4 linked regions of the Arabidopsis thaliana genome follow. The protein of the gene in region 4 purifies or fractionates together with the protein of the main gene of each other region. This does not show direct contact. Each region holds a gene or a part of one and is shown on either strand. Other genes may lie near its edges.

Region 1 (3,349 bases), 4.4 Mb from region 4:
GTGGGAAATTTTCAGTGTACAACATATTTATTCAAAGAACACCCTCAATATCTTTCCCAAAAAGTTATGCAATCTGTTTCAGAAAGATTTCAGAACTTAATTGGTTTAAACATCTCTTCTCCAGATTATTTGGCAGCAGTACACAACCTATATGCCCAGTAATAAGTTTTGAAGTTTTAAATCAAAGCAAGCAATCTGTTTCCATACAGAAAACTGATTCATCAGCTTACAATTGTAGCTTCTCGATACTCTTGTTTGAGAACAATTGAGACTTTCATAGATACAATACCATGTTCCACAAAATTTGTGACAGTCACATACCCTTAATACTCAAAGGCCAAAGTTTGAAGCTTGAAAACAATTTGAAGCTTTTGGACTATAAAACCAAAGAAAAATCAGCATAATCAATCTGTCTCAAAAATCAGCATAATCAATCTGTCTCAAAAATCAGCATAATCAATCTGTCTCCAACACATATCTGAATCATTAGGGTTACAGATTTGAAAATTAGCATATGTATGTAAATTTCCAAAGTTTCAAGCTTGATGAAGAATTTGAAGCTTTTAAGTATAAAAATCAAAGCAATATCAGGAAACTCAACCTGTCTCCAATACAAATCTTGATCATCAGGTTACAGATTTGAAAATTCGCATATGAATGTAAATTTTTTAGCTTTTACATACTCAAGAGTCTCACAAAACACCTCAAAAACAGATTTATAAAAATCGAGACTTTCATAGATCCAGAACCAAGTTCCACGAAACTTGTAACAGCTACATACTTTAAAACTCAAAGCAACAAGCAGAATCAAACTAAGACACAACAAAGACAAAACCTTTAAACTTTCAAAGGTCATCTTCACCCCTCAAATACTCTCCAATATCAGCCTGATGAAGCACAACAATACCATTAGGATCCAATTTCCTACAATCCTGTGTACTCTTCGCAGCAATCCCAAACCCTAACGGAACATCAGACATCGAGAACACAACAACACCATCTCCAGGAACAATACTATCAGTAATCCTCCCTAATCCACCTTTCAAGACATGGTTCCCATAAAGAAACGACATCTCCGAAGTGGGTTTAAGCCATACCTTGTGTTTAGCATTCGCCGCCAAGATATTGAGTGACATAATCGTCAGATGGAAACTACCGGCGTGAGTGTATTTCCCGATGCAGGTTCCGAAGGAGACTAGGTTTTTCCTGGAGATGTTTGTGGCTCGCTTCACGAGGGCTTCGCTGACGTAGTAGACTCTGTTTTTCTGGAGGCGGAAGCAGTAGCTGCCGGGTGTAGATTCGGGTCCTTCGTCTGATGGGTTCTCGACGATCTTCTTGAGGTTGTTGCCGACGAATTTGAAGAGCTTCTCGAAGACGACGGTTGTCTCGGTCTCGTCTAAAGGACGCATCTTCGGGGAAGAAAGTGATGAATAATGGAGAAAGAAGAGAAGCTCTCTGTTTCTAAGAGGGATTGTGTTTTTTTAGGGTTTTAGGGATTTAGGACCAAACCTAATGCGGCCGATGAGTTTTGTTATTTCGACTTTGGTCCTTTGTTTTAAAAATATCTATTGTCATTTCAACCTCGAAATTATTATTTTTGTTAAATCCAACCCATGAATAATTCACTTTGAATATTTGGACTTTGGAGGATAACTGAAAGTTATAACAAATTTGATAGTTCATGTAGTTTATTGAAAAGATGTTTAGTTAGAGATTTTTTCATGTGTAAAAATATTATAAGGAAATCATACAATGAATTACTAATATTATAAGGGCAATTGACAAAACAAAAATATATTATTTTAGAAAAAGGTATATATATTTCTAATATAAATAAATACAATTAATTACAAATATTGTATAACGTGTAAGAAAATAATTGTTTTAAATATATATATATACTTCTAAGATTAAGTAAATTATACATTTAATCACTAATACAGTAAAAATATTAAATAAATTATTAAAATTAGTAATTCTAACACAAGAAGGCTTAAATTTTTCTTTTCTTTTTTTTCTCTCTTCAGAATTGGTTTCATATAACGATCTGTGTGATACACAGTTTAATTGATATATGAATCGACAAATACCAATAAAAATCGCTGTGAATGAATATGTATAGATAACGAAAAATACGCGGGTCAAGGTACAACCACGACATGCCATATTGCCATGTGGCTTCAACCCCCACATATAAGTCCACGACATTGCAGGACATAACGATCATAAAATTTGGAGGAAATACAAATATAGAAGAATGGAAGAATTGGACATAGTAATCGTGGGAGGAGGCATTGCTGGTCTTGCAACTTCCCTTGCTCTTCACAGGTTCACTATAATCTCCTCATTTTCTCAATTATAAGGTAATTTAAATTAGAAAACATATACATGAACTATTGACTAACTAAACATACAAATATGATTATAAAGGAAGGGCATAAAGAGCGTTGTGTTGGAGAGATCAGAGTCTGTAAGATCGGAAGGAGCAGCATTTTGGTATTCAGACTAACGGCTGGCTTGCTCTTCAACAACTTGGTGTCGCCGATAAGCTAGCTTCGTCTTAAGTCTCTCCCAATTCATCAGTAAGTATATAAATATTTATATTTTAACTAACCTTATCTAGTTATAATGATTTCCGGTATGGTACTAAAACAGGATAAGAGATGTTTTGATCGAGAAAGGTATTAAACGAAGAGAATCGGTTGGACCAGCATCCTATGGAGAAGTAAGAGGTGTACTAAGGAACGACTTGGTTCGAGCTTTGGCTCATGCTCTTCCTCTTGGCACTCTCCGGCTTGGTTGCCATATTTTGTCGGTTAAGCTCGACGAAACAAAATCGTTTCCGATTGTGCACGTTAAAAACGGGAGAAGCTATCAAAGCAAAGGCACGTTTTAACAACAGTAGATATATTTATTGATCAATTATTGAGGTGATGCCGTAGTGGAATTTTTTTAGTATATACTTTATATTAGCCGACAGTGACATTTATGGGTCGTGATCGGTTTTAATGGTTTGTGTTTTGTTTGTTTTTCACTGAAAGCAACATGTTTAGCATGAAATGCATGGGTCTTATATATTTTGATAATATACTTTTCTTTTAATTTAGGTTTTGATTGGCTGCGATGGGTCAAATTCTGTAGTCTCTAGATTTCTAGGATTAAACCCGACTAAAGACCTCGGTTCGCGGGCCATCAGAGGGTTCACAAATTACCCGGACGACCATGGATTCCGACAAGAGTTTATAAGAATCAAGATGGACAACGTCGTAAGCGGACGACTTCCTATAACTCACAAACTCGTCTTTTGGTTTGTTGTTTTGCGAAATTGTCCCCAAGGTAATTAATAACC
Region 2 (4,879 bases), 350 kb from region 4:
GAGACGACATCCAAGGATATACTTGCGTGATTGATGTTTTTTTTTTGTTAAGCTTAGTAGTGACTTTTTGTTTGTCTTTCATTGGTTTGGGCACCAAATTGTTCTATTTAGAGTTTTAGATTGTAGGAAACTGTTCCATCAGTTATGTTTTGTTACTTACTTCCAAAAGGAAAAATTGCATTACAAATGTTAGTTACTTTTCCTCATGTAACCCAAATGTATCAAAAAAATTTGTAACCCAAATAAAATTCCAGATGCTTGAGAATAAGCCATTCTAGTTTTTTCATCCTGCTATATATGTTGTCAATGATATTTAATAAAGAAGGTCAGGATGGCCGAGTGGTCTAAGGCGCCAGACTCAAGTTCTGGTCTTCGTAAGAGGGCGTGGGTTCAAACCCCACTTCTGACATTAGTTTTTTGTTACAGTTTCTGCGTGAGCTTTTTGTATTTACATTTCCTTGGCTTGTGTCCTAAAAATGCAACGTGTCTTCAAACTTTGTTTTGTTTGTGTGCAAATTCTTGCGGCGTTTTACATTTGCATTACGAGGTGTCATTATTTAAAGAAATCAACCTCAGTCGACAAAATTCTATTATAATTGTTCCATATATCAAAAACTTGTCGAAAAAGTTAGCGCTGGAAGCCAAGTGAACATAACCAGGGTTCAAAATGATTACAAAGCTCAAAATTTAAGATAAACCCTAAAACCATACAGATTCTAAAGAGACCGAGACAAAGCAAAATCTGAGGTACTGGGAAGAGCGTAGAGTAGAAAACTTCTAAGCAGCAGTAGCAGCCTTTGGCTTCTTAGGCATACGGTAGCCACCAACGACACATGCATGGTCACGCTCAAATGGCTCAAGCGTCACTTGCTCAGCTGGTTTGAATTGCTCCTGTTGAAGCTTCTTCACTTCAGTCTGGAACACAGCTTCTGCTGGAACGGTGGAGTCGATACAGTTTGCCTGCAAAAATGAGACAATACATGTTCACTAATCTTTCTCTCTTGAGAGATCATGGATTAAATAAATGTTTCGATTGCTACCCACCTTTATTGAGATCACAAAGTGTCCTCCTGACTTGAGGAAGTATGATGCATTCAAAGCCAAGATCCTAGCCTGCACGGTTTTAAATGGCACAGAAAATTTCATAAACAAAACAGTATAAAGTATACTAGAAGCAACCCACAAGCTGAATGGCATTTAGAAAACAAGTAGGTTTAACATCAGGAGAACCAAAACCGAGCAATAATAGACATTTAAATTTAGTATTGTTCTTAAAAACGAAATTGTAAAACAAGTACATAGTAAAATAAGATTAAGCTTAACAAAAACAAAAACAAGAATTTTCAGTACATCAGAAACTTGGAGATTGCATCACCCATAATGATCTGAAGGGGAATCCAAGTAAGATCATCATTTGCAATTATCAAAACACCATTTTAAAGCAAAGGACACATATAATGGTATTGGGTCAAGCTTTTTGAGGCAAATATTTAGACATTCATTGTGAGTTAAACAAAAGAAGCAAACCTGATCTGGCTGAGCAACATCAGAGAAGATAACATCAACCATGCCTACAAGCATTCTGTATTTAGCTGGGTGTCTAGCATCCTCGATGATTGGAATAACATTGGTTCTCTTCTTTGCCATGTTCACCAAATCTCTACCACTTCTATGAGAAAACTCAACCGCGTACACACACCCCTCCTATCAGATCACAAAGGCAATATATAAGAAACTCCAATACACGTCTAAAACCTGATAATCACAACATAAAGGACGGGTTCTGCTTACAGGGCCAACAAGATCAGACACATGAGAGACTGTGGTTCCAGAAGCAGCACCAAGGTATAGAACTTTAGCACCAGGTTTCTACATTGAAACGGGAACAACAATCAATATATGAACCAAGTCTCGCAAACAACAACAATAAGATTCACACAAGCTGATGCTTACAATCCAGATGTTATCAACACCACCAAGAATAGCAGCAGCCAACTTCGAACGGAAAGGATTCCAAACTCTGTATTCAGTCTTGGTTCCATCTTCGTTCTGCAGATTCAATCACAAGAACCATTAAAAACAAATTCATCAAAAGGAGTGCAAATACAAACCATCAATCAATTAATCAATCCTCTATAATACCTGAACAGAGATTCTCTTCTCGTTGTAGACAGCTTCACCAGGAACCAAATTCTTGGTAACAAGGGCATCTTCTTTACCCTTTGCAATGAACACTCCTGCGTGTCTGTGAGGTTCCACAATCACTTTGCTTCCTCCTTTCATGCCTCCACGGCCAGCTGGTCCTCTGCCGCCGCGAGCACCACCACGTGGTGGTCCTCTTCCTCTGCCGCGACCACCACGGTCGCTGAAACCTCTTCCTCCTCCTCTACCACCGCCACCTCGACCACCACTGAATCCACCGTCACCTCTACCACCACTGTATCCACCACGCCCTCTTCCACCACTGAACCCACCACCACTTCCTGAACACAAAAGACCATTCATTAGAGACTCCATGTTTAACATAAAACCCAACCATCAACTCTATATCCGATAGAACTAACGCAGACCCAATACAGTTCTAAGCAAAAAAGAACAAAGTTGACAATCAGTTCAGCTAAAGACATAAAGTTTTAAAGACTAAACGAGCTAAGAGTGTCACTCGCCATTGTTAATCTGATAAGCAAGCAATGAAGAAAAGAGAAGAGGCGGCTAGGGTTCTTACCAGTTAGAGGAGGTCTCATCTTTGCGTTAAGACTCTAAAGAATGCGAAAATCAAGGAGAAAAGCTTTTGATGAGAGAGAGAATGGCGATGGCGATGAAGCTGCGCTCGCAAGTGTTTTTATACATGTGTTTCAAGCTAGGGTTTTAACAGGGTTTTAATTTAACTCGCCTTATTTATTATTATTTACGTTTTAATCCTTATATTATGTATACATATCTTTTTCTGCTGTCAACTATTTAGAATTAACATTTTGCCCCTCGTAGTTAAAGCTTTATGAAATTCTATCATCACACACACTAACGTGTTACAGCAACAACAAAATTGTGTGTAAATATATTAATCGTCTTACCATTGTAAATTGTAATACACAACATTTAATCGTTACCATCATTTCTCTACACATAAGAAAACAAATACCCAAAAACCAGAAAATTCTAGTTCCAGAGCGAACATGTCTCTTACAATGAAACTGGGCTGCTAAATATGTGGGCTTTAGTTATAGTGGTGTGGGCCATAATAATTTTCATAAATAGTTTATGGTAAAAGCCCACATAATTAGTTTATACGAGGTCCACTCTAACATTACAAGTTCTCATAAATAATTTTCTTCTGTAGTCTGTTTATACAAGGTCCAATATAACATACAAAAATCACTTATGATAAAAACTTATTTATAAATATTGATTTTAAAGCAAATTTTAAACTTTATTATACTCAAACCTATCTTTACTTTAGTCTACCGAAGTGGAGACTCATGTTAACTCGAAAATACAAAATGATTAGTGAGTTAACATGTTCACATACAATGAAAAGGAAATCATATGTAGACACAGTGTTAAAACACTAATTCTAGATAAACATATCACAATCAATGAATGAGTTAGTGAGATGAGATTATTAGTGAATATGTTACACACGGAATGGATAAATTAGAATGAAAGAAATAAATGTGAGAGAATGGAGAGGGAAGTGTGCATGTGGGATGTTGGGGAAAATAGGTCCCATTACCCATCCTTTTTTCTTTTTGAGTCTCTCCCTACCAATCATTATAACTTTTCTCAACTTATACATTCTGAACTATTTATTTCTATTTGTCAAATTAATGGTTATGCTTTAATACATTTATATCCCAATTGGCATATACATGTTGTAGAGTAGCTAGCTATGTCATAGGCTTGAAAATGTTTTTGTTTATAGGAATGAAGATTCCCATTGATTATTCCACTTATTTGGCACTTTTTATCATGTTCAATGTCTACTAGATAAGCATGTGGCTACTAGTGGATGGCCACCTTTGGGGGTAAAATTTTGTTAGTAATATACCATTTCTAGTTATATTTTTAATATGTATACCTATGGACATATCCATTTTGTATCTATCCACACGTTGCAAGACTTACATTAGTTACATAATTCGAATATATAATAATTTCGATCTGTAGAGGTGTGGAAAAGTGAAGCCTTGTTTAGTTGACTTGTTGATTAACTGAATTAGATATCTAAGCTCGTATATATGATTTCATTATGTTATAACGCATAGTTGATTAAACTTACTAGATTACTATCAATAACTGATTTCCGTTTTAAACTTAGGTTTACAATAGATCTATATACGTAGATGAAATTTTCGAGCATAGTAAGAAGAATTTACAATCTAAGTTTAAAGTCATACATTGTTTGATCTATATCTCTATCTATAATATATAAAATTATATTAAAAAGGAGAAAATGTGCTGAAAAGTTTGTATGATGAAAATGAATAAATCATTGTTTTAAATTGAAGTTAAATTTACGTAAATGTGTGCCGCTATTCCACATAATTGTAAAAGGCAATCTTAAAAAGTAATTTTCAAAGTCAAGGTAAAAGAGTAGATATTTAATTTATAGTTCGTCAAGTAAAGATAAATCCTCCTATTTTAGTAGTCACATGTTTTATTGCTAGGGCTGCTGCTTTATTTGTCATATTACTTGCGATCGAGACAATAGAGTAGAGACGACGATGTATGTCCACCAAAACAAATCGATTTTCATGAAATATTATCAACTATTCTTTATTATTTTTTTGGGTATGAATGTTAAGTAACTATTATTTATTTTTTCAAACCAGATCCTAACAATCTACATAAAGAGCTAAACCACCATGTGCATAATGAG
Region 3 (5,429 bases), on a different chromosome or scaffold from region 4:
AATAGGACTTTTATTGAGAGTTATAGAGCAATGTGTGATACACATTGTATTTTGTGAGGTTGTGATATTCGTCATTTGTGTAATTGTTGCAAATTTCAAAGACACGAAATATATTATTGGTATTGTTGTTTTGCGTGCAAGGCACGGGCTGCCTACTAGTTTACTTACAAATAAAAAGACTTTATAAATTAAAATCCAGTTCGATAGGTGTCTAGGCAGATTTTTTGAACATTACCTACAATGATTACATAAAACACTATAGATTAAACTTTTTCCACGGCAACTAAATTTAATTAAAAATAAAAAAAACTTTATGAATTAAAATCCAGTTAAATATTTTAAAACATATATGTTCAGTAGTAAATTTTGATATTGACGGAACCATTATCACGAAATATTCAGAAAGAATTTTGATTCATATTCATCACAAAATTTATAGCACAATAAAAATATATACACACACAAAGTAGGTAGACTCTAGATTTTATTTATCTTTTGAAATTTCTAAGGTCTGGTATGATTTGCCTTATGCTCAACCCAATCCATTTCCAATTGACTATTAAGGTACTTTTTAGACTCACAAATATTCATTTTGTACAAGGTTTTTTAAAATGTCAATGATACACTTGATGAAAAATGTCGACTCTTCGGACTGATCTTTACAAATTTATGAACTAATCAACTATGAGTAATTACGTTATACTAAGATTAGAAGGATTTAACGGTAAGGTCTTGACTCGTTTGGCAAAATGCAAGTTTCTGGGATAAGGACTAAACCAAACATATTATAACCTTACAAAACGAAGAGTAGTTCTTTTTTTTAAGTTTCAAACAAAACAAAAACCTTACTTAACACCTAACGCCACAAAAGATTTTCTTTGTTTCTGATAACAAAGTAAACTAGACCACGCAAAAATATTAAAGGTCTCTTCAGACCTCAGTTTTCTTCTTCTTCTTCTTCTCACTCTTTTCCTTCTTCTTAGCAGGCATTTCAGTTTCCTCTTCCTCGTGTTTTCTCTTCTTCTTCTTCTCCTTCTTTGCAGGCTCTTCGGCGGTTTCAGGTTCTGCTTCTGTCTTCTTCTTATTCGATTTCTTCTTTGAGGGCTCCTCAGTTTTGGCTTCTTCCTCATCATCAGCCTTCTTCTTCTTCTTTTTGTCTTTCTTCTCTTTCACACCGTTCTCTGAATCCACTGTGGGAGTTTGAAGAAGAGAGTCTGCAGCAGTGTTGTATGTCTGCAGAATACAACAACAACAACAACAACAAACAGCTTAATCCTTTAAGCAACATTACAGGTAATATATCCAAAACACAATTGCACAAATCCAGAATTCATAATTACAAAAGAAAGTTGAAGAAACAAACTAGCAGAGGAATAATCTGACCTTAGCAGGAGTGATCAGACCTCCGGATCCTTTCTTTTTATCTTTGTCATATACTTCAATCTTTGGTTTGCCTTTAGCTGAGCCAGATAGACGTCCTAAATCTTTTCCTTCGAGAGTTCTCAACCGTGCTTCAAGCTGTCAGAAGAAAATAGCCCGCATGGTAAACATCAATCAAGGTAGAGTATTTTTAGATCAGATCGAGAGGAAGATCGGAAAAAAAAAAATTGAAGGATACCTTTAAACGGTTTTCAACTCCCATAGTGTTGTCTTGGGAGTCACCAAGAGCATCACAACGGATAGCAAGAACAGATTTTGCAGCTAGTGACCGTGAAATTTTACCCTTGTTCTTCGGTGCAGCTTGGCCAACAACAGATGCATGGAAAATTAAACCATACTTTGGAGTAGCGTGTTTGGTCTTAAGGGCTCTAAATAAGGCTTTTTCAGCTCCAAGAATCTGAACCGTGCTTCCAGGTTGCTTTGCGAGGTTCAACAAACTACCACCGTGAGATATTAAGCGAGCACCGACTAGCTCCCCGACAAGGGCAGTTAGATTTGGTGCAATTGTGTTCATTCTGCTCTTCAAGTAGTCATAAAGCTGAGCTCTGTACTCGGCAAGAGAAAGAACCTGGTCACAGAGTTCTCGGATGTGCAATAAATCAAGGTCACTGACTTCAGTTCCCATAGATATCACAGCAGCCTCTTTCAGTTCTGCTTCAATTTCATCAGCCAATATCTGAGAGGAGGACACAGAAACAATGTTTCAAAAAAAAAAAAACTAGTGTTAAGCACAAGGAAGTCAAATACTCAAACAGGCCTTTACCTCAGAGAAGTCTAGCTTTGCAGCATTAATCCGATTCCCCATTAGTTTAACAGCCTTGGCATATAAGATATTGTCCTGTACGATCTTAGCAAGCTCAGGAAAATGCCAACCAAACCATTCACGAACCCTCATAGCGTAAGTGTTAAGCTCTTTGTCAAGATCATCAAGCAGACCAATAGCTTGGATTATCATGGTATCCACCTAACATACAAGTACAAGGTGAAGTAACATAAGGGTCAAACAAACACAGGATATATAGACAAACTCAATTGCAATTCAGACCTAATGTTGGAAGAGTAAAAAAAGGGATACCAAAAGTTCCATAATTTATCAAAAGTTGGCTAACTCAACAAATAATTCAGAGAACCAAAAACCAATACAAATCAAATGACTACCTTGTCGGAACTGAACTTTAGTTTATATCTGGCAAGGCTGTGAGACAACCCCAAGCTCATTGGACCTAGATCTTGATCACCCAATCCAGATATAAGTTCAGTTAGCTGGCTTCTGATACCTCTTAACAGCTCCATAACAGCATTGTTGTGAACACAGACTATTTTCTACACGAGTGAAGCAAAACCGTAAGAAACAACCCTTACTCAGAAATAAAAGAGCGTATCGGAACAAAATACACACCAGTTTCTCCTTGATGATATTTCCAAGCTTAGAATCAGCAACAGCTAATGTTTCACCAACACAGTTAGCTTTCAAAAACTTGCGTAGACCCTTGCTTGGAGTTCCCTCAAGCAATTTAGCCACTGCTTCAAGAGCTTCAGCTGTGTTGTCAAACTTGTCAAAAGCTACTAGCTTCACCATCTGTAACAACACACCAAAAATTGCTATGAGAAACAAATATTATTAGCCAGATACAAAATTTGAACTATGTCTAGAACAAAATAAATCACCTTTCGGGCTAACTTTGCGGTCGAGAACTCATTACCCAAATCCTACAATCACAAATTTGACATACTTAGAATTAAAAAACCAAACCACACACAGAAACAAGGTTAAGATAAATGAACAAAGGAGAATGATTTAGTTAGTAACCTCAACATTAGAGAGCTTTCCTTCGTTTAATACTTTGAAGATGGCAAAACCACCTGGCGTCTCAAACAGTATTAGCATTTTTACAAGCTCCTGAAAAGAAGAAAAAACAAGATTAAGAGAAACCCTTGAATCAACTCAAAGTCACCAAACTTGCAAGTTAGTGTTTTACGAGCTAAAGCCATTAAGCTAGTACGAAACAATATTCAAGGTAAAACTTTTTCCCTGTTTCGAAGTTTACAAATCAGAATAATAGTTAAGGCAGATACTCTGTTCAAATTCTTGAAAATCCGACAAAGAACAGAACTATACTTTGTCAAAGTCTTAGAATTTTGGAAGCTTATTTGCCATAACAACGAAGAAAGAGAGGGCGAGAGAGATTCAGTACCTTAGAGGGTTAACGCACAACTACAGCTTTAGAGAGAGCTAAAATCAGGAGCCGCGATTCTGCTAGGGTTTAAGATGGTTTTTATAGTTGTTGAAGAAGGTTCAGAGATTCTCAAAACGCTGCGTTTTTATTGCTAACGGCGCGTTTTTGTAACCTAGGGTTTTAAAACGCATCGCTAATTTAGAAAAATAAATCATTTTGGGCCTAATTAAGTTTGGCCCATTAGTATAAACGACGTCGTAGTTTGAATCATGTCTTTCCTTTATAATTTAGCTAAAGCAGCGACTGATCACATTTCAATCTCTCACGACAAAAAAAAATGTGAACTTGAAATGGAATCTTCAAAGTTGTTGTCTTTATTGCGAGAGTGTACCAATAGCACCAAGTCTCTAAGAAGAATCAAGCTTGTGCATCAGAGAATACTCACGTTGGGGTTACGAAGAGACGTAGTTTTATGCAAAAGTCTCATCAATGTCTACTTTACTTGTAAAGACCATTGCTCAGCGAGACACGTCTTCGAGAACTTCGATATACGATCGGATGTTTACATATGGAACTCTTTAATGTCTGGTTATTCAAAGAACTCAATGTTTCATGACACTCTTGAGGTTTTCAAGAGGTTGTTGAATTGCTCAATTTGTGTCCCTGATTCGTTTACTTTTCCGAATGTGATTAAGGCTTATGGTGCGTTGGGTAGAGAGTTTCTTGGTAGGATGATTCATACTCTTGTGGTGAAGAGTGGGTATGTTTGTGATGTGGTTGTGGCGAGTTCTTTGGTTGGTATGTATGCAAAGTTTAACTTGTTTGAGAATTCACTACAAGTGTTCGATGAAATGCCTGAGAGAGATGTAGCATCTTGGAACACGGTTATTTCGTGTTTTTATCAAAGTGGAGAGGCAGAGAAGGCTTTGGAGTTGTTTGGAAGAATGGAAAGTTCTGGCTTTGAACCAAATTCAGTTTCGTTGACGGTGGCTATATCGGCGTGTTCAAGGCTGTTGTGGTTGGAGAGAGGGAAGGAGATACATAGAAAATGTGTGAAGAAAGGGTTTGAGTTAGATGAGTATGTAAACTCTGCCCTTGTTGATATGTATGGGAAATGTGACTGCTTGGAGGTGGCTAGGGAGGTTTTTCAGAAAATGCCTAGAAAGAGTTTGGTTGCTTGGAATTCTATGATCAAAGGTTATGTCGCTAAAGGAGACAGTAAGTCATGTGTTGAGATTTTGAATAGAATGATCATAGAAGGAACTCGACCGAGTCAGACAACCTTGACCAGCATTTTGATGGCTTGCTCTCGCTCACGGAATCTCCTACATGGAAAATTTATACACGGTTATGTGATTAGAAGCGTTGTAAATGCAGATATCTATGTGAACTGTTCCTTGATTGATCTATACTTCAAGTGTGGTGAAGCAAATTTGGCTGAAACCGTCTTTTCAAAGACACAGAAGGACGTTGCTGAGTCATGGAATGTCATGATTTCTAGTTATATCAGTGTAGGTAATTGGTTTAAGGCTGTTGAAGTGTATGACCAAATGGTGAGTGTTGGAGTGAAGCCAGACGTGGTAACTTTCACAAGTGTTTTACCTGCTTGTTCGCAACTGGCTGCGTTAGAGAAAGGCAAACAGATTCATTTGTCCATTAGTGAGAGCAGGCTCGAAACAGACGAGTTGCTTTTGAGTGCGCTTCTTGACATGTATTCTAAATGCGGCAATGAAAAAGAGGCTTTTAGGATTTTCAACAGTATACCAAAGAAGGATGTTGTATCATGGACGGTAATGATCTCTGCGTATGGAT
Region 4 (6,403 bases):
TCCACTTTTATTCAAGTTTCTGTTTCTAAGACACACACTGTCTTATTCAATCTGTTTCATGTCAACGTCTATGACTAGGTTCTATGTGTTATAAATAACTTGCAACTTCACCAAAAACATAATACATTTTTTTTTGACAGCCAAACTACATATATATCCTGCAAATGATAATATTTCAAATTCTAACACAATTTTACAAGAAATTTCAACCAATCAATCAAATTATTTTTGGTAGTTGGAATTAAAATTCACCAAAAATAAATTCGTGTTTTCATTCTTAAAGAAGAAACAGAATCGTTTAGAACTGATTTTAGAAAATTACGTGATTCATTTCAGTTTTTGTTATCAACATCACTAGCTTCAATCATGCATGGGCTGAGCATGTAACGCAGGTAGAGATGTCAAAATGGGTTAAAATTCATGGGTTAACTCAACTCAATTCAACCCATGAACTCTAATGAGTTGAAAATTTTGACTCAAATGAGTTAATGGGTCAAATGAGTTGATGAGTCAATTGGTTTGATGAGTAAAATGAGTTGGGTTGTAATGGTTAATGATTTCAATGGTTTACCCAATTAACCCATCAAGTTTTGTAAAATTGAATTAAACCAACTAAAATTTCTAAACCAATGCCAATTTAAGTTTAACCAACACATTTAAACCAATTTAATAAAATTAATATTTTTCCAAATTTCTTAAATATACAAGCGATGAAATTGATAAAAAGTAAACTCGTAATTTTTCACTAAAAAGATAAACCCGTGATTTTCCCGCCAAAAACGTAAATCCATAATTTTCCCGCCAAAAACGTAAACTCGTAATTTTCCAGCCAAAAACGCAAATCCGTAATTTTCCCGCCAAAAACGTAAACTCGTAATTTCCCGCCAAAAACGTAAACCCGTGATTTTCCCGCCAAAAACGTAAATCCGTTATTTTCCCGCCAAAACGTAAACTCATAATTTTCCCGCCAAAAACGTAAATCCGTAATTTTCCCGCCAAAAACGTAAACTCGTAATTTTCCCGCCAAAAACGTTAACCCGTGATTTTCCCGCCAAAAACGTAAACCCGAGATTTTCCTGTCAAAAATGTAAACCCGTAATTTTCCCACCAAAAACATAAACCCGTAATTTTCCTGCCAAAAACGTAAACCTATAATTTTCTCGCCAAAAACATAAACCTGTGATTTTTCCGCCAAAAACGTAAACCCGTAAAAAGTGGAATCCGTAAATATTTTAAGTTTGATGATAATGAATTAATAATATTAATTATTTATTATTGTTTTATAATAATAATTAATTAAATTATTATTTAAATGGGTTAACCCATTTAACAATTCAATCCATCAAATTAAATGAGTTATGGGTTGACCCAACTCATTTAACATCTAAACTTATTTGATTAAGAGTTGAGTTGGATTACCCATTTTGAAACCCCTAAACGCATACATCAAATAACTTATTGAATTATGTTTTTATAGGTTTTATGAATTCAGTGGCTCGATAATTTATTAGGCTGACAAAAAATAAGTTCGACTACAGCCCATTAGTTAGTATTAGTCAGGCCCATTAGTTAGTATCAATCAAGCCCATTAAGCAACTTTGCTCATCCTCCATCTTTACTAGATTCTTCGACCTTGCTTCTCCTACCTCTGCAATTCTGCTAAACCCTCACGGCGATAAACCCTAAGTTGTAAAAACCGTATCCATGGCTGCTCTTACGCGTAACAAGAAGAAGGGTTCCAATTCACAGACTCCGCCACTGAATAAGCAGACTAAGGCGTCTCCGCTGAAGAAGGCGGCTAAAACCCAGAAGCCTCCATTGAAGAAGCAGAGGAAATGTATTTCGGAGAAGAAGCCCCTCAAAAAGCCTGAAGTTTCCACAGACGAGGAAGAAGAAGAAGAAGAGAATGAACAGTCTGATGAAGGGTCTGAATCAGGTTCTGATTTGTTCTCTGATGGTGATGAAGAAGGAAACAATGATAGTGATGATGATGATGATGATGATGATGATGATGATGATGATGATGAGGATGCAGAACCCTTAGCTGAAGACTTTCTCGATGGTAGCGATAATGAGGAGGTAACCATGGGTTCTGATTTGGATTCTGACTCTGGTGGATCCAAACTCGAGAGGAAATCTAGAGCTATTGATAGAAAACGTAAAAAGGAGGTACAAGATGCAGACGATGAATTCAAGATGAACATTAAGGAGAAACCTGATGAGTTTCAGCTACCAACCCAAAAGGTTACATTTTCCTTTACTTAATTGTGGATTTGTTCATATTCTGGATCTCTGGAGCTATTTGTTAGCTAATCTTTTCTATTACTCTACATTGTTTAGGAACTTGAAGAAGAGGCACGTCGGCCGCCAGATCTTCCTAGCTTGCAAATGAGGATAAGAGAGAGTGAGTAACATTTTCAAATTTTATTCCTTTTTAAGAATTCTGGTGTAATGTTATTATTATGATTGTTTTAAATCTCCTAAGGAATCATCCTCTCGGTTCTTAGTTTAATGGTACTAATTTGTGTTTCAGTTGTTAGAATCCTGTCGAATTTTAAGGACTTGAAGCCAAAAGGAGACAAGCACGAGAGGAATGATTATGTTGGACAGCTTAAAGCTGATCTTAGTTCTTACTACGGCTATAATGAGTTTCTTATTGGAACTTTAATTGAGGTTATTCCCTAGTCTCTGACTTTACTCTTTATGCTTGCTTTGATCTAGAGTTATGTGTAGGAATTCTGTTACTTATACTCTTTAGTTGTAATCTTCTGGCAGATGTTTCCTGTTGTTGAACTCATGGAACTAATCGAAGCTTTTGAAAAGAAAAGACCTACATCTATACGTACTAACACTCTTAAGGTGAACTTGGTTGTGCATTGGAGTGTCTAAAACAAAGTATTTCTCAGCTGTTGTGATATTTCAATTAATGCTGATGTTTGTTTTGGTTAAGACTCGAAGACGGGATCTGGCTGATATACTTTTGAACAGAGGAGTTAATCTAGACCCATTAAGCAAGTGGTCAAAAGTAAGTAGTATTTGCAGATTGTCTTCCATTTTATTTGCGAAAACATTTTTGTGGACCATCTTTAGTTGATCCTGGCATAATATTTGTAGGTTGGACTTATCGTTTATGATTCACAAGTTCCGATTGGTGCAACTCCTGAATATTTGGCAGGATTCTATATGGTACTTGATTTTCTGATTTTTTTTGTACTTTTCGGCTCACACTTTATGGGTTTTCTTATTGTTTACTTAAGTATGTTCTTGGTACATTTTCAGTTGCAAAGTGCTAGTTCGTTCTTGCCAGTGATGGCCCTTGCTCCTCGAGAAAAAGAACGAGTTGTGGACATGGCGTAAGTCATTATCTTACATAAATGCACTATATTTGTGTCTCAGATAAATATATATATATATATATGATGACCAAGCAGTACCTTAATCTGATATTCAAGTGTAGCTTGTGATATGTATCATTTGTTATGATTGTTGTGATGATAAGTGCTGTCAAAACGGAAAAGCCAATTTGATTGTCCCGTGATGTGAGACATATGCAACTAGTATATTGTGATATCTGTAACAAGTTCTTATACCACTGCAGTGCTGCCCCTGGTGGTAAAACAACATATGTTGCTGCACTAATGAAAAATACAGGTATACATATATTGGTTCCTTATTCCTCCAGCCCCATAATTTTAGTCAGTTATATCTAATGTTATAATGTTTATATAACCAGGCATAATATATGCAAACGAGATGAAAGTACCTAGGCTTAAGTCACTTTCTGCCAATCTACATCGCATGGGAGTGACAAATACCATAGTTTGTAACTATGACGGACGAGAGGTTAGTTTCTTGAACCTTTATTCTTCTGTTGACGGTACATGCTTGAGGATGTTAAATATTGCAAACTGGTTGTAAACCATCAGCTCAACCAAATTGAAAAATTACTGGCAAGACTGTAATTGCACCAAATAACAAAGTTTTAAAGACAGCTTCTCTATTATTCCCTTGCATTTTTTATTTATCTCATCTTCTTTGCCTTTCAGCTAACCAAAGTTTTAGGTCAGAGCTCGGTTGATAGAGTATTGCTGGATGCTCCCTGCAGTGGAACTGGAGTAAGAAAGTTTGGACCATACACTCTTATAGTCTTTTAAGTGAATTTCTCTGTTCATAGTTTAATGTCACTTCTACACAATGCAGGTTATATCAAAAGACGAATCAGTTAAAACTTCCAAAAGTGCTGATGACATAAAGAAATTTGCCCATTTGCAAAAGGTATGTTGTTGCCTTAAACAATATCAACTAAAACATTCTTTACATCCAAGACAAATATTTAAACATGAAAATGGCATAAACGCCGTTTATACCCTCTTACTGTGAGTATATAAAGAAGGATGCATTTGGTATATAATGCTAACCATACTCTCTTCTTTTCTTGCGCATAGCAACTTATACTTGGTGCGATTGATTTGGTAGACGCCAATTCCAAAACCGGTGGATATATTGTTTACTCAACATGTTCAGTTATGATACCCGAGGTTGGTGAACCATACTTTTTCTGTTCCACTATTTTTTTTTCCTGGCATCTTCATGTTTTCTCACTAGTTCTATTTGTACAACAAATTATGCAGAACGAAGCTGTCATCGATTATGCTCTGAAAAACAGGGATGTTAAACTCGTTCCATGTGGACTTGATTTTGGCCGACCAGGGTAATATACATTTTCATCTGCATTGAAAAATTTCATGATTCGTCATCTGAACACAAATGTTTTGCTGCATATCTTCAGATTTAGCAGTTTTAGAGAACACCGGTTCCACCCTTCTTTAGAGAAGACTAGACGTTTCTATCCTCACGTGCACAACATGGATGGATTCTTTGTTGCAAAGGTATACACTTGGTTAACCTATGAATAGCTTTTCCCTGCAAAACAGATGTTTTATAAAATATGAATAGTGATTAAACCAACGAGGTATTTACTTTTTCCTTTCTTTGTTCTGCAGCTGAAGAAGATGAGCAATGCAATGCAGCCTTCAGGAAATGATGAGCCAGCTGTAACAATGGAGCAAGCTCAGGTGTCGTCTAGTGATGATGATGATGAGAAAGCTGAGGCCATTGAGGAGTTGGAGAAGCCACCTGTTGCCAGTGGGCAACCCAAGAGAGAGAGTAACACTAAAGAAGACACGAACAAACGAAAAAATCCAAGGTCAAAGGAAATTCACAAAGGCAAAAGGAATAAAAACACAAAAACCGAAAGTGGTAATGTGGAAGAACCCAGGAAGCAAAAGAAGAAGAGATCACAATGGAAGAATGAGATTGCTCAAGCTAGGTAAAAAAACTAAGTGTTTCCTTGACAGACAAAAGAGAAAACCTTCTTATGTACATTGTTGTATCATACACCCATTTACCCATAAATGGTTGAATATGTTGCAGGGAAGAAAAAAGAAAAACCATGAGAGAGAATGCTAAGGAGACGCCAAAGCACAGGGGATAAGAATAGGTTTGAGATCGTGATGCATCTTGAAGAGTAGAATATTTCGGTGTTCTGGCCATGGCGAAGGACACAAGAAAAGAGGCTTCATTGGCTGAGGCCAAGGTATCTATACAATGGCTTTCTAGTTTTGATTAATTTACTGCGTAAAGAAAGGGTGACACCCACATGGATTAGCTGTTACATGTCCAAAAGTTTTGTATCAATCACATAACTTGATTTTTGTGAGAGGCTGTTTCTATTTTCCGTTTTCAATTGGAGTTGTAAAATTTATTGAAAACAAAAACGAGTCCCTACTTTCTCTCACAAGTGTGTTTGAAAGGCTATTCATTTTTCTGCTCCTAGCAATTATTTAATAAAATACATAAATCTTGGAGGGTTGGGTCCATACCACCACATAAGGATAGAATTTCTCATAGTATTGATTTGACGAAAAAATAAGGGAATTGGGAGTGAGCTGGTCATTGTTAGGGAGAGATGTGAAGGTTTTCTGAAGTGGGACTTGAGTGTTGGAGAAACATGACAATCCAATTCAACTCTTCTTCATCCATCTTTATCAGATTCTCCTCCGTTGGGGACCTTACATTTACTTCTCTCACACTAATCTTCTTGTTTCTATTTTTAGATTATAAGCCCATATTATAACTGCTAGTGCTTGTAGCCTTGTATACACAAACTCACATGCATCACATATAACATCGTATAATTGCTGTATTCACTTTATATTTGGATATCCAAGATTATAGAAAAGAGATTCCTTTGCAGGACCCAAAAGATACAGCTTTTAAAAGCAAATGAGTTCATTTTAATTTCTTGCTAACCAAAATGGTAAGTAATTTTGTGGACTTATGGTATGGATAAATAACAAAATCTCAATAAACCATTGAAAATAGGAAATCAAAAAATATATTT

What was found.
Region 1: the proteins of AT4G26600 (region 4) and AT4G15770 fractionate together in Arabidopsis thaliana (co-fractionation; one large-scale study listed by BioGRID). This does not show direct contact.
Region 2: the proteins of AT4G26600 (region 4) and FIB2 fractionate together in Arabidopsis thaliana (co-fractionation; one large-scale study listed by BioGRID). This does not show direct contact.
Region 3: the proteins of AT4G26600 (region 4) and AT5G27120 fractionate together in Arabidopsis thaliana (co-fractionation; one large-scale study listed by BioGRID). This does not show direct contact.

Annotation. Positions count from the first base shown.
Region 1 is NC_003075.7:8,976,120-8,979,468, reverse strand, and holds AT4G15770 (RNA binding protein), read right to left. Parts: upstream 1,575-3,349; 5' UTR 1,410-1,574; coding exon 846-1,409; 3' UTR 525-845; downstream 1-524. Other genes in the region: AT4G15765 (FAD/NAD(P)-binding oxidoreductase family protein), read left to right, coding at 2,258-2,328, 2,431-2,496, 2,656-2,854, 3,108-3,336.
Region 2 is NC_003075.7:13,072,104-13,076,982, reverse strand, and holds FIB2 (fibrillarin 2), read right to left. Parts: upstream 2,894-4,879; 5' UTR 2,745-2,893; coding exon 2,726-2,744; intron 2,484-2,725; coding exon 2,143-2,483; intron 2,050-2,142; coding exon 1,954-2,049; intron 1,870-1,953; coding exon 1,792-1,869; intron 1,705-1,791; coding exon 1,528-1,704; intron 1,421-1,527; exon of another isoform or gene 1,348-1,420; intron 1,114-1,347; coding exon 1,045-1,113; intron 961-1,044; coding exon 778-960; 3' UTR 551-777; downstream 1-550. Other genes in the region: DTX35 (detoxifying efflux carrier 35), read left to right, coding at 1-26, 326-407. UniProt on the Arabidopsis thaliana protein: S-adenosyl-L-methionine-dependent methyltransferase that has the ability to methylate both RNAs and proteins. Involved in pre-rRNA processing.
Region 3 is NC_003076.8:9,539,186-9,544,614, reverse strand, and holds AT5G27120 (NOP56-like pre RNA processing ribonucleoprotein), read right to left. Parts: upstream 3,755-5,429; 5' UTR 3,636-3,754; intron 3,341-3,635; 5' UTR 3,329-3,340; coding exon 3,251-3,328; intron 3,151-3,250; coding exon 3,109-3,150; intron 3,020-3,108; coding exon 2,840-3,019; intron 2,764-2,839; coding exon 2,599-2,763; intron 2,405-2,598; coding exon 2,204-2,404; intron 2,117-2,203; coding exon 1,619-2,116; intron 1,519-1,618; coding exon 1,384-1,518; intron 1,234-1,383; coding exon 931-1,233; 3' UTR 550-930; downstream 1-549. Other genes in the region: AT5G27110 (Tetratricopeptide repeat (TPR)-like superfamily protein), read left to right, coding at 3,968-5,429. UniProt on the Arabidopsis thaliana protein: Required for 60S ribosomal subunit biogenesis.
Region 4 is NC_003075.7:13,417,925-13,424,327, forward strand, and holds AT4G26600 (S-adenosyl-L-methionine-dependent methyltransferases superfamily protein), read left to right. Parts: upstream 1-1,636; 5' UTR 1,637-1,704; coding exon 1,705-2,244; intron 2,245-2,340; coding exon 2,341-2,404; intron 2,405-2,533; coding exon 2,534-2,673; intron 2,674-2,775; coding exon 2,776-2,859; intron 2,860-2,950; coding exon 2,951-3,025; intron 3,026-3,114; coding exon 3,115-3,186; intron 3,187-3,279; coding exon 3,280-3,353; intron 3,354-3,598; coding exon 3,599-3,651; intron 3,652-3,733; coding exon 3,734-3,843; intron 3,844-4,046; coding exon 4,047-4,115; intron 4,116-4,200; coding exon 4,201-4,275; intron 4,276-4,445; coding exon 4,446-4,711; coding exon of another isoform or gene 4,712-4,715; exon of another isoform or gene 4,716-4,789; coding exon 4,790-4,889; coding exon of another isoform or gene 4,890-4,916; exon of another isoform or gene 4,917-5,003; coding exon 5,004-5,329; coding exon of another isoform or gene 5,330-5,333; exon of another isoform or gene 5,334-5,433; coding exon 5,434-5,494; 3' UTR 5,495-5,867; downstream 5,868-6,403. UniProt on the Arabidopsis thaliana protein: Involved in ribosomal large subunit assembly. S-adenosyl-L-methionine-dependent methyltransferase that probably methylates the C(5) position of cytosine 1586 (m5C1586) in mitochondrial 26S rRNA.